Linked DNA regions of Coturnix japonica. Each later gene encodes a partner of the first gene's protein in a complex. Links are inferred from orthologs where the notes say so. Each region holds a gene or a part of one and is shown in the gene's direction. Other genes may lie near its edges.

The links. Proteins that work in one complex are often made in the same cells at the same time.
Region 2: the proteins of PI4KB (region 1) and YWHAZ are in contact, whole or in part, in a crystal structure (PDB 5NAS), measured with the Homo sapiens proteins. The link is inferred for Coturnix japonica from reciprocal best matches to the Homo sapiens genes PI4KB and YWHAZ. Residues at the interface, in NP_001317650.1 of Homo sapiens: Lys290, Arg291, Thr292, Ala293, Ser294, Asn295, Pro296, Lys297; in NP_001129171.1 of Homo sapiens: Asn42, Ser45, Val46, Lys49, Arg56, Phe117, Lys120, Arg127, Tyr128, Gly169, Leu172, Asn173, Val176, Tyr179, Glu180, Leu216, Ile217, Leu220, Asn224, Leu227, Trp228.
Region 3: the proteins of PI4KB (region 1) and ACBD3 are in contact, whole or in part, in an NMR structure (PDB 2N73), measured with the Homo sapiens proteins. The link is inferred for Coturnix japonica from reciprocal best matches to the Homo sapiens genes PI4KB and ACBD3. Residues at the interface, in NP_001317650.1 of Homo sapiens: Val37, Gly38, Val42, Ile43, Asp44, Pro45, Val47, Ala48, Gln49, Lys50, Ala51, Cys52, Glu54, Val55, Leu56, Val59, Lys60, His63; in NP_073572.2 of Homo sapiens: Gln245, Ile246, Ala249, Leu250, Gln253, Thr254, Gln257, Phe258, Tyr261, Gln265, Tyr266, Leu276, Leu280, Gln283, His284, Gln287, Tyr288, Gln291, Leu292, Val295.

Annotation. Positions count from the first base shown.
Region 1 is NC_029540.1:2,286,735-2,291,028, reverse strand, and holds part of PI4KB (phosphatidylinositol 4-kinase beta), read left to right. Parts: intron 1-501; coding exon 502-546; intron 547-3,328; coding exon 3,329-3,556; intron 3,557-3,682; coding exon 3,683-3,910; intron 3,911-4,294. UniProt on the Homo sapiens protein: Phosphorylates phosphatidylinositol (PI) in the first committed step in the production of the second messenger inositol-1,4,5,-trisphosphate (PIP). May regulate Golgi disintegration/reorganization during mitosis, possibly via its phosphorylation.
Region 2 is NC_029517.1:116,496,056-116,500,855, reverse strand, and holds the start of YWHAZ (14-3-3 protein zeta/delta), read left to right. Parts: upstream 1-1,574; 5' UTR 1,575-1,709; intron 1,710-3,419; 5' UTR 3,420-3,429; coding exon 3,430-3,723; intron 3,724-4,800.
Region 3 is NC_029518.1:14,888,814-14,893,649, forward strand, and holds the start of ACBD3 (Golgi resident protein GCP60), read left to right. Parts: upstream 1-1,610; 5' UTR 1,611-1,673; coding exon 1,674-1,923; intron 1,924-4,836. UniProt on the Homo sapiens protein: Involved in the maintenance of Golgi structure by interacting with giantin, affecting protein transport between the endoplasmic reticulum and Golgi. Involved in hormone-induced steroid biosynthesis in testicular Leydig cells.

The DNA of each region.
Region 1 (4,294 bases):
AGCTATTAGTTTCAACACTGTTATTGCTTACGGTGAGATTAGGCCTGATGGAATTAGCATATCCCTGTAATTAATGCACTCAGAAACTCTGATTGTTTCTTTTTGGGAGGAGAACATTAAAACCAATCACTGAGAGTGGACCTGGGGGGGACAGAGTGCCGTCATCACCTCTTTTTGGATGAAATCAATGGATGTGGGGCTCTGCAGTGGGGCAGAGTGGGGGGAGCAGAGGGTGGAAGAGAGCTTGAAAGGACAAGGAAGGGGAAACCGTGTTGGTTTGTGTTGGTTTTTATGGATGCCAGCCCTTGGGTTTGGAGCCCGGCATGGAAGGCAGCAGTGTTGCAATGGGGGGCAAAGTGAAACAAGAAATGCAAAGTGATGGCGATGAACCTGGAGCTAAACTACTGCTTTTTCTCCTCCTCCCCCCCCCTCCTTCCTCTCTCTGACCGCGCTGCCACCACCCAAAAATGGCCACCAAAACCCCTTCCATCCATTTCCCAGGAGCTCTCCTCGAGCACGGAAAGCCTTGATAACTCATTCTGTTCCGTAAGTGGTTTTGTTCTGCTCCTGGGCCCTCCGTCCTACAGCAGCATTTCCTCTGCCTCCCCCACCTCCAAACCCCACTGCGGCCGCACAGCACCGACCCCCACGTAACTGCTGACCCCGACATCACACCAAAGGCTTTCTGCCCCATTTGGGGATCAAACAAACCCACAGCTGGGGGTTGGACCTGGCTGCTCATCACCAAACCAAAGTGGGCACGATGGAGGGGGCTTCCCCTCCCACTGAGCTGTGAGTCCTGCCCTGCCACGCGCTGCCCTTTGTGTCACAGTGTTTGCAGACAAAAGAGGAAATGCTGTTTTCCTTGAATTTGTCCTTATTTGAAACAAAAATCCTCTGCTAGCTGGGGTTTCATTTGCTTCTTCCACGGATCATTTCCCCCCCTCCTTGCGTTGCACTTTGGGCTGTCAATCCAACCCAGCACCCCCCAGCAGAGCCTCCTTTTGCTGTGAGCCTTCTTTCAGTTTGGAGCCAATCGCATCTTTCTCATTTGTTCCATCCTCCTCTTCCTCCTCTCCGTGTTCCCTGGTTGGGATTTACAGTGGGATCCCAATATGTAGTCCATGCTCAAACCCATTGCCCTGGGCAGCAGCAAGTGATGCCTCATACATCCACAGCCCTCAGGGTAGGAACTGGAGGGGGAGGATGGGACTGGGGTATCCCCAGCACCTCACATGGGCACCCATCCCCTCCTCATATTCCTCTGGAGCTCAAGAATCCTTTGCTGAGAGCAGGAAACAAACCTGCAGCAGTGCACCCATGGCACAGTGCTGTGCCACCCCCACCAACCCTGCTCAGATGTGGGCTCTCCTCTTTGGGGTTTTGTTTTCAGGTTGGATATTAGGAAGTATTTCTTGGTACATTGGAAGGGGAAGGCGGTGGGGTCACTAATGCAGAATGGCAGAGATGTAGCACTTGGGGACATGGTGAGGGGGGCTGGGGAGATGAGTTGGGATCTGGAATGATCTTTTCCAACTTCAGTGGTGCTGCAATTGGGCAGAGCGGGATGGATGGGGTGGCACTGGGTGATCTCAGAGGTCTTTTCCAACCCTAAAGACTGCGTGGTCCTTTTTAGGGACGTGGATAGTGGGCATGGGGAGGATGGGTTGGGGTTGGATGTGGTGACCTGAGGGATCTTTTCCAACCTCAGTGACCCTATAAGTGGGCACAGTGGTGGGGGTAGGCTGATGGTTGGCCATGATGATCTTAGTGGTCTTTTCCAACCTCAGTGATCCTATGGGATCTCCTCCATCTCGGTGTTTGGAGGCACAGCAGGAGGTGAGGAGTCCACGCTAGAGGCTGGGAGGGAAGTGGGGGGTTGGCTGATGCTGCTGTATCTGCCCTCCCTTTGCTTTTCAGGGCTCAGGATGGTGCCAGCCCTGCAGCCCCAGGCAGCCATAGCCAATAGCAGGAGCACCCTCAGCCAGGAGAGCTTTCCTTCCAGGCTGTGCAAGCCCTGCTCCTTTATCTGAAGCAGAAGTGCAGCCACCTGGGCTCTTTGCAAGCATTTATCCCAAATTTACCAATGGGGAAGGATGGGGGACCCACACCTTGTTGGCTCAAAGGGGGGGTGGGCTCACAGAATACAACATCTCGGGTTGGCACCTGGATTTGGAGGACTGAGGGAAGAACCTCATCTCAATCCCAATAATGCCAAGCAGTGCTGAGCTGGGGGATGTGCTTGGAGCAGATGGGCTGGGGAGGGCTGTCCTTGGCCACGTGTTTGTGGTCAGAGGAGCTGAGAGCTGAATGTTTCCATCCAGAACATGAATGGCAGAGGATGGGTTGAGGAGCAGTGCAGTGCTGCTGGCATCAGGGGAAGGAGCTGTGGGGTCTGGGGGGAGCAGGGCTGAAAGTGATGGGGAAGATGGGCCTCTGCTGGAGCTGCATGGATTGATCCCAGCCTGGACTGGGTTGGACTTTGCACAATGGCAGCTGGGAGTGCTGCCTGGTCCCAAGTAGCCTCCACAGTGACCCACGGGGTGGGCACACATCCAGTCCCACAGCTGTGCAGCCTGGATTGTAGACATTCCATAGCAGAGCGGTGGGAGAGAAAGGGAAGCGGTGCTGGAAGGAGCAGAACATCTCCAGGACATCATTCTGCTCTGGGAAGAAATGGGATCCAACAGAGCAGAATGGCCCCAAAGGCTGCAGAAGTGCCTTGGGCAGCAGTGGGGCTGAGCCCTGGCTGGGGGGGGTTTAGATGAGGACTACACTGCATTCCCATTGCCCCCTCCCAAAGGGAATGAGCAGTGCTGCTCCTCTTCCACCATTTCTTTCCTTTGCTCTTGGCCAGTTTTTGTTTTGCTGCCTTCTCTCATGCACCGCTGCTTGTTGCATGTGCATTTCCTGCATGGTTGTGCAGTGAGCACGTTGTGTGTGAGTTCAGTCCTGCATTTCTCGTGGCGAAAAATCAGCCATTAATCACTCCTTGTGCTGATTGATTGGGAACTTTGTCTTTCGAAGGCTGCCCTTCACCTGCGGGTTATGAGGGCCACAAAGCTGCACTTCGATCTGTGCCTGATGATTGGGATACAGAGGGGGCTCAGAGCTGTGCTGTGTGGGATCCCGGAGCTGTGGGGTGGATGTGGGGATTGATGGGGCTCCAGGAGGGGATCTCTGGGTCTGTGATGGGAGGGAGAGGCGTTGGATCATCCCATATCGGAGCGCAGGGTGGGATGGGGAGAGCAGTGTTCCCTCTGGAGCTAAATGAGCAGCATGCCCAACCCGCAGCCCTCCTCACTCTGTGCCCTCCTTTCCCCTGCAGCCCGTCAGGCTGGCACCCGAGCGGGAGTTCATCAAATCCCTGATGGCCATCGGGAAGCGCCTGGCCACGCTGCCCACCAAAGAGCAGAAAACACAGCGGCTCATCTCGGAGCTGTCGCTGCTCAACCACAAACTGCCTGCGCGCGCATGGCTGCCCACGGCCGGCTTCGACCACCACGTGGTCAGGGTGCCTCACACGCAGGCGGTGGTGCTCAACTCCAAGGACAAGGTGAGCTTTGGGGTGTAGAAGGTTTGGTCCTCTCTGAGCATCCCCCTCTGCTCAGCATTCACCCCATGAGGCCAGAGAGCAGCTCTGCGCTCAAACAGCCCCATAACATCACTTTGCTTCCTCCAGGCTCCCTATTTAATCTACGTGGAAGTGCTTGAATGTGACAATTTCGACACAGCGAATGTCCCAGCGAGGATCCCTGAGAACCGAATCCGGAGCACGCGGTCGGCTGAGAACCTCCCCGAGTGTGGGATCACAGCTGAGCAGAGGACAGGCAGCTTCACCACCGTCCCCAACTACGACAACGACGACGAGGCCTGGTCTGTGGATGACATCGTGGAGCTGCAGGTGGAGGTGAGGCTGTGCTGCCATACAGAGAGACCCCGCAGTGCAGCCAGCAGAACCTTCTGAGGGTCAGCAAAGCCAATGCAGGGTGTGGGTCACTGCAGACTCTGCTGTCGCTGCAGGTTGAGGATGGAAGAATGGAGTGCAGTGCTGCTGAAAGGACTTGAGGGCAATGGCACAGATTGCCCTGGGAGGTGGTGCTGCCCCATCCCTGCACACCTCTGTGGTCAGGCTGGTGGGCTGTGAGCTCTGATGGAGCTGTGGGTGTCCCCTTTCATACAGAGGGTTTGGATGAAACGTCCTTTTAGGGCCCCTTTAACCCAAACCATTATGTGGTTCTGTGACCTTAACGCTCATCCACAGAACCACGGGATGGTTGGGTTGGAAGAGTCT
Region 2 (4,800 bases), on another chromosome or scaffold:
AATTTGCTACAAAATAAAGGTTTAAGACTTATGTCAAAACTGAACTCTCAAACATAACTCGAAGCAAGTAGCAGCAAACGCTGTGCTGTGATACCATCTGTGTTCACGTACAGCTCTCGAGCTCTCCTCCTATTGCTTCCTAAAGCAGTAATGATAAAAAATAAACACAGATATGATGGAGAAGCACCGTGTGTTGGAATACAAGATGAAGCTGAGCCTTACCATGCTTGTTACAGAAACAAACTCTGTATCCGCATACTGCAACAAAGCATCCCCGGGGAAATAAAAATGAAGGTTATATTCTCCTTCATGTTTAGATTGTCAGTGTTAGATTGTCCCAGCCAAGTCTGGTGAGCCCAGACCATCTGAACACTGCTTTTTTCAGCTCCTTCCTCAAACATCCCAGCACCTTTCTATGTGAAAGTGGGTGAAATTCTTTAAACGCTGGAGGAGATGGAAGGCACCAGAATGGTTGAGAAAGGGGGGGGGAAATACTTCAGTGTTAAATCAGCATAGGAGATAACAGAATCTCAGAATGGATCACAGAATGACCCGGGTTGGAAGGGACCTCAAGGATCATGTAGTTCCAACCCCCCTGCCTGGCAGGGCCACCAAACATACACCTTTACTAGATCAGGTTGCCCAGAAGTTGTGCTCCTATTCACACTGTGCTCTAGCAGTGCTCCAGCCCAGCCCTGTCCAGCTACTCGTCGAGCCCACAAGCGTGCTCACAACTTCCTCTTGCTTTCCGAGAATCACCTCGCTCCTCCTATGCTAATCCCACACGCTGCCTAGCAAGAGATGTGGAGGCTCTGCCTACACACACACCGTGTGTCCCGCACCATTCGTTCTCGTGGTCAGTGAGCGGGCAGGGCAGCGGGCAGAGCTGCTGCTTCCCATCCCCACAGCTGAGATGCGGCAATGTGCCACGTGACAGCCGGGTAAGGCTGTGTCACATCTTGCACCGAGAAGGAGCAGGGTGGAGCTGCGGCTGGAATCTCCATCAATATGAACGCCTGGAGGGAGGAATCTCCCTCTTCCAGCGAGGATGGTTCTGCTCCGTGATATCTTCGGTGCGGGTCTCTAAGGGGGAACCTCCCCGAGCCCTGCACTGTGTGAGGCAGCACACGGGGCAGCTCCCCGCCCCACACGCTCGAGGGAAGGAAGGCGGTGCGGGCTGAGGTGAATGCGGCCATCCAGCACCTCGATATAAAATAAACCAGCCTTTCCAACACGGGCAGCGTTCAGCATTCCAACACCCCCCCCTTTCCTCCTCCTTTTCTTCCTCCTCCTCCCCCTCGCAGGCCCCGGGGCCCTCGTCCCGCACCCCATCCCGGCGGGGTTTGCTCTCGAGCCCGGCGGGGCCGCTGTGACTCCTCGGCCCGGGTGTGAGACACAAAGGCGGCACACACACACAGAGCGGGGAGCGCCGGGGGCCGGCGGGGATAAGGGGGACGCGCGCTCCCGCGGGCGGGGCCCGGTCTCGGCCTGCGCCGGGGGAGGCGCGTGCTCGCGCTCTTGCCCTCTCCGTTGCCATGGCGCCGCTTGACGTCACGGGCGCTGCGCTGTCCGCGCGGGAGCGGCGCGGTGATTGGCGGAGCCGCCGTGTGTGGCGCTGGGAAAGAGGCTGCAGCGCCGCGAGCCGCGACACACACACACACACAGCGCCGCGAGCCCCGACACACCGCGCCTCGAGCCGCACCGAGCAGGTAACGGGGCCCCACACCGACCGACCGCCGGCTCCAGCGGGCGGCAGGCGGGCAGCCAACGGCCCCGGCCCCTCCTGTAGAGCGGGCAGCGAGCGGGGCGGGGGGGGCTGGCGGGGAGGGCGGCGGGGGGAACACGGCTCGGCGGGGCGGGGAGCCTCAGCGCGGGGCCCTCAGCGCGGAGCGGGGGGATACGGCTCACGGCTCCCCCCCCTTCCTCCCTCCTTCCGCCGCCTCGGGCCGGGCAGGCGGCATCCTCCTCCTCCTCCTCCTCCTGCCGCTCCGCCGCCCCCGTTGCCGTGCGGAGGTGATCGGGATTAGGGCGCACGGCGGTGGGCAGGGCTGCGGCTCCCGGCCGCCATGACAAAGGCGCGGGCGCGGCGCTGTGTGGCTCGGCGGAGGGCGGATGCGGCGGGCGCGGATGGGGCGGAGCCGCCCCGAGGCGGGGGCCGGGCGCTGCTCTGTGCTGCGCTGTGCTGAGCCGTGCTGCCCTGCCCGCCGCCCGCGGCTCCATCTTACGGCGGAGCGCGGCCCAACCGCGGTCTTGGCGCTCGGTGCGGGCAGTGCGGGCCTCGGAGCTCCTTAAAATGGCTCCTGAGAGCGGGGCGGATCGACGTGCTGCGGCCTCCAGCCTCGGGCTGCTCAAAGGGCCGGGGGACCGGACGGCTGAAACGCGCTCGGGTTTTGTCGTCTGTGGGAGGTTTACACCAAGAAACTCGTGGTTTCTTGGTGTAAAATGACAATAGGTTGCAGGGTAAGGTGCGGGGTTTTGTGTGTGGAACGCGTGGGAATGAATAAAGCATCCTGACCAAAGCGGGTTTTGGTTAAACGAGCTTTGAAGGATGATAGGTCACCAAACACCAGAGGACCGTGCCAGGTACATAAAAAGGTGGGGGGAGGAAGGGTTGTTCTCCCTTCCCCCCCAATAGGCACAAGGGTCTCTATCAGGAGCCCAAGCCTTGACTGGATCCAGGTTATGAAGCATCCCAACCAGCTTGTGCTAGTGAAATACTGACATCGACGTCATATTTCTTCCCAATTGTAAAAATCTCTTTGTCTCTGGAATATAACCCCTCAGGCCCAGGAGCTGTATCTGGGTCAGAAGGCCAGCGTAGCCTGACTGGAGAAGGGAGGTTCCCACCATGGGAGGTGCGGTCCTTCCAGCTTAGGGCTCTGCTCTGTTCTGGCTCTAGAGCATCGGATGTGGGGTTTGATTGGCACATCCCTCTTCCAGTCCTTTCTGGATGGAGCAGTAAGGTTCTTTTAAGGCACGGAGTTGTATGATACTGTTTGCCTGGCCTTTTTTTTGTCAGTTCCTCTGGCAAAAATACAGTTGGCTATTTTCTTTATCAATTTAGTTGCATTCATAATTAGGTGCAGTTGACACCGAAGCTTGAATGTGCTCTAAAGAGAAAGTGATGGCAAGGAACTGGGATCACGTGTGCACTTAAGATGGGAATTATTTGCTTCTGGTTTCTTTGGATGCTTTTATTTGCGTTTCAGAAATAACTTAAACCATTTAACTTTGCTTCTCTCTTAAAAAAAGAAAAAAAAGGACTTTATGTTTGAGTGTTTGTGTGCCTTGCATTCCAGATTTCAGCTGTACTTCTTAATTCCAGGCTACTTAAAGGATGGCTGTTCTGCGTGTGAGGTTGAAACATCTTTGTCCTTAACCGTTGTCTTAATAACGCCTCGCTATTTTTTCCTCTTCAGAAATCTCAGCATGGATAAAAATGAGCTAGTGCAAAAGGCCAAACTGGCTGAGCAGGCTGAAAGATATGATGACATGGCGAGTTGCATGAAGTCCGTGACCGAGCAAGGAGCCGAGCTGTCCAATGAAGAGAGGAATCTCCTCTCTGTTGCCTATAAAAATGTTGTAGGAGCCCGTAGGTCATCTTGGAGAGTCGTCTCAAGTATCGAACAAAAGACGGAAGGCGCTGAGAAAAAACAGCAGATGGCTCGAGAATACAGAGAGAAAATTGAGACTGAGCTAAGAGACATCTGCAATGATGTGCTGGTGAGAAATAACAAAACTGTTGTTGTGTTTTACCTTAGGGTTGCAGGGTGAATGGTGCCGGGTCTCGTTAGGGATGCCTCTATCTGACCTTTAATTAAAGACAGTGTCCTACAGTATTTCTGAAGGACAAGACTAGAAAACTGTCTAACTTTTCACGGAATCACAGAATTAGCAAGGTTGGAAAAGACCTAGAAGATCATCTAGTCCAACCATTACCAATACTTCCCAGCTAAATCATATTCATCAACACAACATCCAAACGTTTCTTGAACACTCCCATGGTCGGTGACTCCACCACCTCCATGTGCAGTGCATTCCAATGCCTGACTACCCTTTCTGAGAAGTAATATTTCCTAATGTCCAGCCTGAATCTCCCCTGGCGCAGCTTAAAACCATTCCCTCTAGTTCTATCACTAATTACACAAGAGGCCAACCCCCAGCTCACTACAACCTCCCTTTTCTTTCCCTCTAACGTATCAATTCTTTTATATGGGAGTATAATTACAAGCACCAGTATATTTGGAGACATGTTTAAACCTTGTGTTAACTTTTCATAACTATTCCTTTATATGCAGTATTTATTTGAGACTGAAGAGGGGAAGGTTTGGTTTGGGGTTTTCCAGTCCTCCCCTACATGGTAATTGTGTCCCAGATCACACTGATTTCTGTGACTTTAAAATGCTGCACTGGTTGTAAGAGGTAGTTCTTACTCTACGGAAATTGTGCCCCTCCCTGTTTAAGATGATGTAATGTTAGTTATGACTCAGCCATGCAGAAAGCTGCCTGCAGGAAGAGGCAGTAGCAATGCTACGCTAGCCTCTTAAACTTTAGGCTTTCAGAAGTAAACAAAAAAGGAGAGTTCCAAGCTAAGATTTGCTGTGACTTGTAGATATGTTAAAGTCTATGTACACTGTTGGTAGATACATGTTTTTCTTTGCAGTGGGAAATGGTGTCATAAAATCTGAATCTCTTCCAGATGCTTGTTCTACATTGTCAGTTTTTCCTATTGCCAGTACCAATAGTGCCACAGTGAGCACACGAGCAGAGGGTGTCCTGTCCTGCCACCAGCTGGGAGGT
Region 3 (4,836 bases), on another chromosome or scaffold:
TAAATGTGTTCAGAACATCTGAAGAGTTCCTGAGAAGATCCGATGGTTTGTGCACTTGCAGTAGGGCCACACTGGGCTCCTGGGCTCCAGGAAAAGCTAGAAGCCCCTATGGAAAGCAGCTTTGGTGATGGAAGCCCTACACCAGGGGGAACCTGAAGGCACAGCCCTGGCGGCTGGGAGCACACATTTCACCTACTGTGGGAGGAAGGATACCAGGAAGAGCAGAATGGTTTGTTTAAGTCATTATGGTGCTCCATAACTTGTTAATGGTTCACTGTGCGCTTGCAGATGGCTGGTATTTTTCACTGCTAAACATTCACCAGCTTGAATTAAATAATTGATTTCTTCTACATAAAGCTTCTATGACTGCGTTTCCTAGCGGAGGCCACTGTTGCTGGACTAAACTGCCTCTCTGGGGCTTGAATGTGGTCCAGACATGAATTTCCAGACTCAAAATCTGAACCTGCAATTTTTTTTTTTGTATTTTGTACCGACACTGTATCTGTCTTTATAAACAGGGCCCCAAAGCACATGGAGCAGAGCAGAGTGGATGTAGTGGGTCCATCCGACGCTCACCAGACAGCTGTGCAGAGAGACGCTGAGGGTAAATCTGTGCTGCCTGGTGGCTCTGAACAGCCACACACCAGGCTGCAGAGCTGCAGCAGAGCATGCCGGCCATAGCCATGCTCAGTTGGATGCTACACTGACAGATGTCTTGCTCTCCAGCTGGGACCTCTCCAGCAGACTACACTGCATACAGTGGAGAAACCCGCTCTGCTGGCATGTCTGTTGTAGGACATAGCAGGGCTGGCACAAGAAGAGACAAATAGTCACATGTTTACTAGAAGCATCAAATATTTGGTACAAGAGAGACCCTGCTATGAGATCAATCAGTTTTCTGCCATCCTTCTCCACATCAGCTTGTCAAACTCGCGGAGCAGCTTGGATTCAGCTTGGCCTCCAGACATGTGGGGAAACTAAGGGCTGCCTGACTGCAGGCAGCTTCTGCCATGAAGCAGAAACGCCTCTGGGTTTGCTGGTGTATAAAATGGAACTATTCCCTTCCATCTTACAGAAACACAGCAAACCCCACAGGGACCAGTAAGAATGTCAGTTTCTTTAAGGATGTATTTTGGGATAAAGAACTCAACATTTCTTGAAGTGGAAAGATGAATGTTAAGCTTACTATGTGTTAAACCACAAAATTAATGCAAATATATATGTATGTATGTATGTATGTAAGGGTGGCCTCTGCAAACTAAGCAGGAAACGTGCCAGATGAAAACTGACAGCAGACTGAAGGTCATCTTGCAGATGAACTAACAAGTCTTGATGCGAAGCCGGATCTGATGCTTGCAAAGCAGGGTGCAGGCATGAACGAGATAGCGTTATCTGTGCTGCCGTTAGCTCGGTGCATGAGATGGTGCCACACAGCCAGAGCTGCGTGCCCTGGGAAGTAAAACTGACTGAAGGAGGCGATGCTCCGTTGTTCTGTAGTCCTCTATTTGTGATCCTCAGCCGAAACCTGAACGAACAGAAACGAGGGGAGCCCATAGAGGGGGCGGAGCTGAGAGCGGCCTGCTATGGGGGCGGTACCAGGCGGGACGGGGCCGGATGTTCCGGGTCGGAGGGAACGGGAAGTCGGGACGTGGCCGCCGCAGCGGAGCCGGAGGATGGCGGTGGCTCTGAGCGCGGAGCGGCTGGAGGTGTCTGTGGACGGGCTGACCCTGAGCCCCAACGCTGAGGCGCCGCCCTGCGAAGCGCGGCCCGGACACGGGGATTCGGCCGCGGGGCGGAACCGAGCGGGGCCCGGCTGCCAGAGCCAGGTGGAGGCCGGCGGGGAGGAGGCGGCGCTGAGCCCGGAGCGGAGCTGGGGCTTCGCGCTGGAGGAGCTGTACGGGCTGGCACTGCGCTTCTTCAAGGGTAACTGCACCGGGGAGCTGGGGCGGGGGGTGCGCAGCACCGGCCTGAAAGCGGGAGGAAATAAATTAATAAAGCATCCTCGCTTTTGGATGCTGAGGGAACAGCCGTGGGAACGCGGGGAGGGCACGTTGGCTTTAAGTGCCGTCGGGGCTGCGCCTCGCACCGCCGTGTCTGTGGGAAGGAGCGGGCTGGGCTGTGTGGGCACAGCCGGGTGTCACAGCGCGGCTCCCCGCCAGGTGCAGCACAGCGCTCCGATCCTGCGGGCCGAGATGGGGCTGCTGCTGCTGCTGGTGTCTCTGCGTTTGATTTTGTGCTTGTTTTTTAACCTGTGCTGTTCTGTGAACCAGGAAGGGCTGGGTTTTCTGTGCCAGAAGTTGCCGCAGCCACGTGTTGGGCTGGAGGCACTGCAGCTCCCAACGTGCTGCTCTGTAAAACATGGAGCTCGAGGGAGTTTGTTTCCTACTGAGTATTTGTTTGTAAATCACACTGTGGGAAGGAATATCTCTGCAGCGGGAAATTCCTTATCTCAGTCGAGTGTTATCTCATGGTGTCTTCAGTTTGATGTTCGACCAAAACGAGTAGTGGTGTAAAAGTGAAACAACTCAGTCATAGCATGTAGTGTGCTGCCAGTGCTTCTCATCCTGTGGTAATTACACCTTACATTCATCTCCTTTTGAAGGGTGAGGGGTCATTGAGGTGCTACTTGCATCCAGGTTACAGATATTGCGGTGTATCTGCTGTGTCTCAGGTGTCTCTTTCTTGTTGCTGCCTTCTTATTGAAGGCTCAGTTCATTCTACACCTGCATGGCTCTGAAAATAAGTGCTCTTGTTTCCAAGTTGTTTCAGTTTATCCACTGTGACAACAACCATGGACGTGGGCAGCTGTGTGGATGCTGAGAGACACACACATCTCCCTGCTTTACTTAAAGGAGTAACATCTGGGGGATGTGAAGGCTGGTACTTGTCAGCATAGATCAGTGCTGAGGCCTCACTTCTCATTGTTATTCTTAAGACTGTGCTGGTCCAGAGGTGGGGTGTTGTTTGGCAGACTTGATCTTAATGCTGGCTGATGCCAGAGCTTCTATATATGATGTTAACTGCTTATGCTGCTTCCATGAAGCGAGCAGAAAACATAAGCTATTATCTAAGAGTGGCACCTTTGGTATTTGCTTAAAGTGCTGCTGTGGGAGCTGGGGCAGGGAGGCTAAAGAAGTCACTGGATGCTGAAGGGTAAGCGGGTGATCACCAGTTAAGCAGCTGCTGTTCTGTATCAGTGTGTAAACTGAGCTCTGCTCATAATGCATTCATAATGCATGCGCTTCCTGGAAAGCTGATTTGGAACAAAATACCTGAGGCATGTTACACTGACTGCTGATGCTTGTCTGAGGTGGTACCTTGCAAAACTGCTCAGTGACAGGACAAGGTGGGAATGCGTGTAAACACAATGTGAAAAACACCACGGAAGCTGAGCTGCTGTATTGAAGAGCCTTCAAAGCTGCTTTATTCCAGCTCTGAGAAAGACAGAGGCAGCTGACAGAAGCGCTTTTGACAGCTAATTTTGCCTGTGGAACTGGTACAAAGCTCAGTCGGTGGAGATGGCTCAGTGGAGGTGTAGGCTGTATCCTGCACTTGGGGGGGGGCAGCGTGCTTAGTGTCAGCAAGTCTGTTCCAGTGTCACCTAGCTGTACAGTTTTCCATATTATATGTTTGAAATACCATCGCACTCCCTGCAGTGTTCATGCGCTGCCTGCAGTGGTTTGCGGAGCCTTATGTCTGGATGGGCAGCATGTTATAAACTGTATCGTTCTGTTATCTGAAGGCTCTCCTGCTATCTTAAGTATTCAAATGTTGTTTGACTGCTCCAAGTTGTTTCCTCTTATCCTGACAAGAATGCAACTTCAGCCTCAGCAGTGTATCGTCCACAGTGAATTGTTTGACCTTGTTGTTTGTGTTCTCATTTGATGGCATGTTTGTAGCTCATTAGTTACATAGATGCTTGCTTTAAAGAAGATGGGAAAACCCTATAATGTATCTGTATCAGATCTGACAGGAAGGGCAGGTTGATTATCCTTCTGTTGATGCTGAGTATAGGAGAGCACTCACTGGGCTCTGCAGGCAGGGATTCGCCTCTCATGTTTCTCAGTCTTGGTGTCACCCATCAAAGCTCTGCAAATGAGCTGCATTAATATACGTGATACCTGCTTTTAAAAGCTGTGAGGCAACAAGTCGCAGTTGAAGCTGTTTTCTGGCTTCTTGTAGACAGCTGGGGCTGAAAGCCATCCCATGGGAACTGGACATTGAGAGGGAGTGCAGTAGGTGAGCGGGAGCAGAAGATGCAGCAAGTTGTGCAGTATATCTGACTTGAGATGTACTTTTTCTGTGTTACAGAGGTGTAACAGTGGTGATGCTGGTAGTGCATTGCCACACAGTGACATCCATTTGCATTATCTGCTTTTCATTACTTGCTGTTGGACTGGCTTCATCTTTTTGTGTTTGTATGCGGGGTCCCTGCTGAGGAATCTCTGTTGGGTGGGCATCTGGACAAAGAGTCGCTGTCAGGAGGGCTCTGGCCTCAATAGCTGATGGTAGGTGTGCAGGGACCTTCCTGCCAGGCCTGGCAGTATAGGGACAGTGCTGTGTCTTCATGGCATGCATCTCTGAGGCCTGAGCTGGCAGTAAGTGGGAGCTGGTCCTTCTTGCAGTGTTTTGGGTAGGCTGCTTCATGTCATAAGTGAAGTACATATGGGCTGTTACTGCAGCAGGCCTAAAGCCTTGTTCATGCAAGCATACCTTAATTACTACGTAGTCTTGTCTGCCGCTAGTGTGATGTTCAGGTGATGAGCACTGCATTTTCTATGGGTGATGGTTTGAGATATGGTCAATAAGGACTATGAATTGTCTGTAAGACAGCTG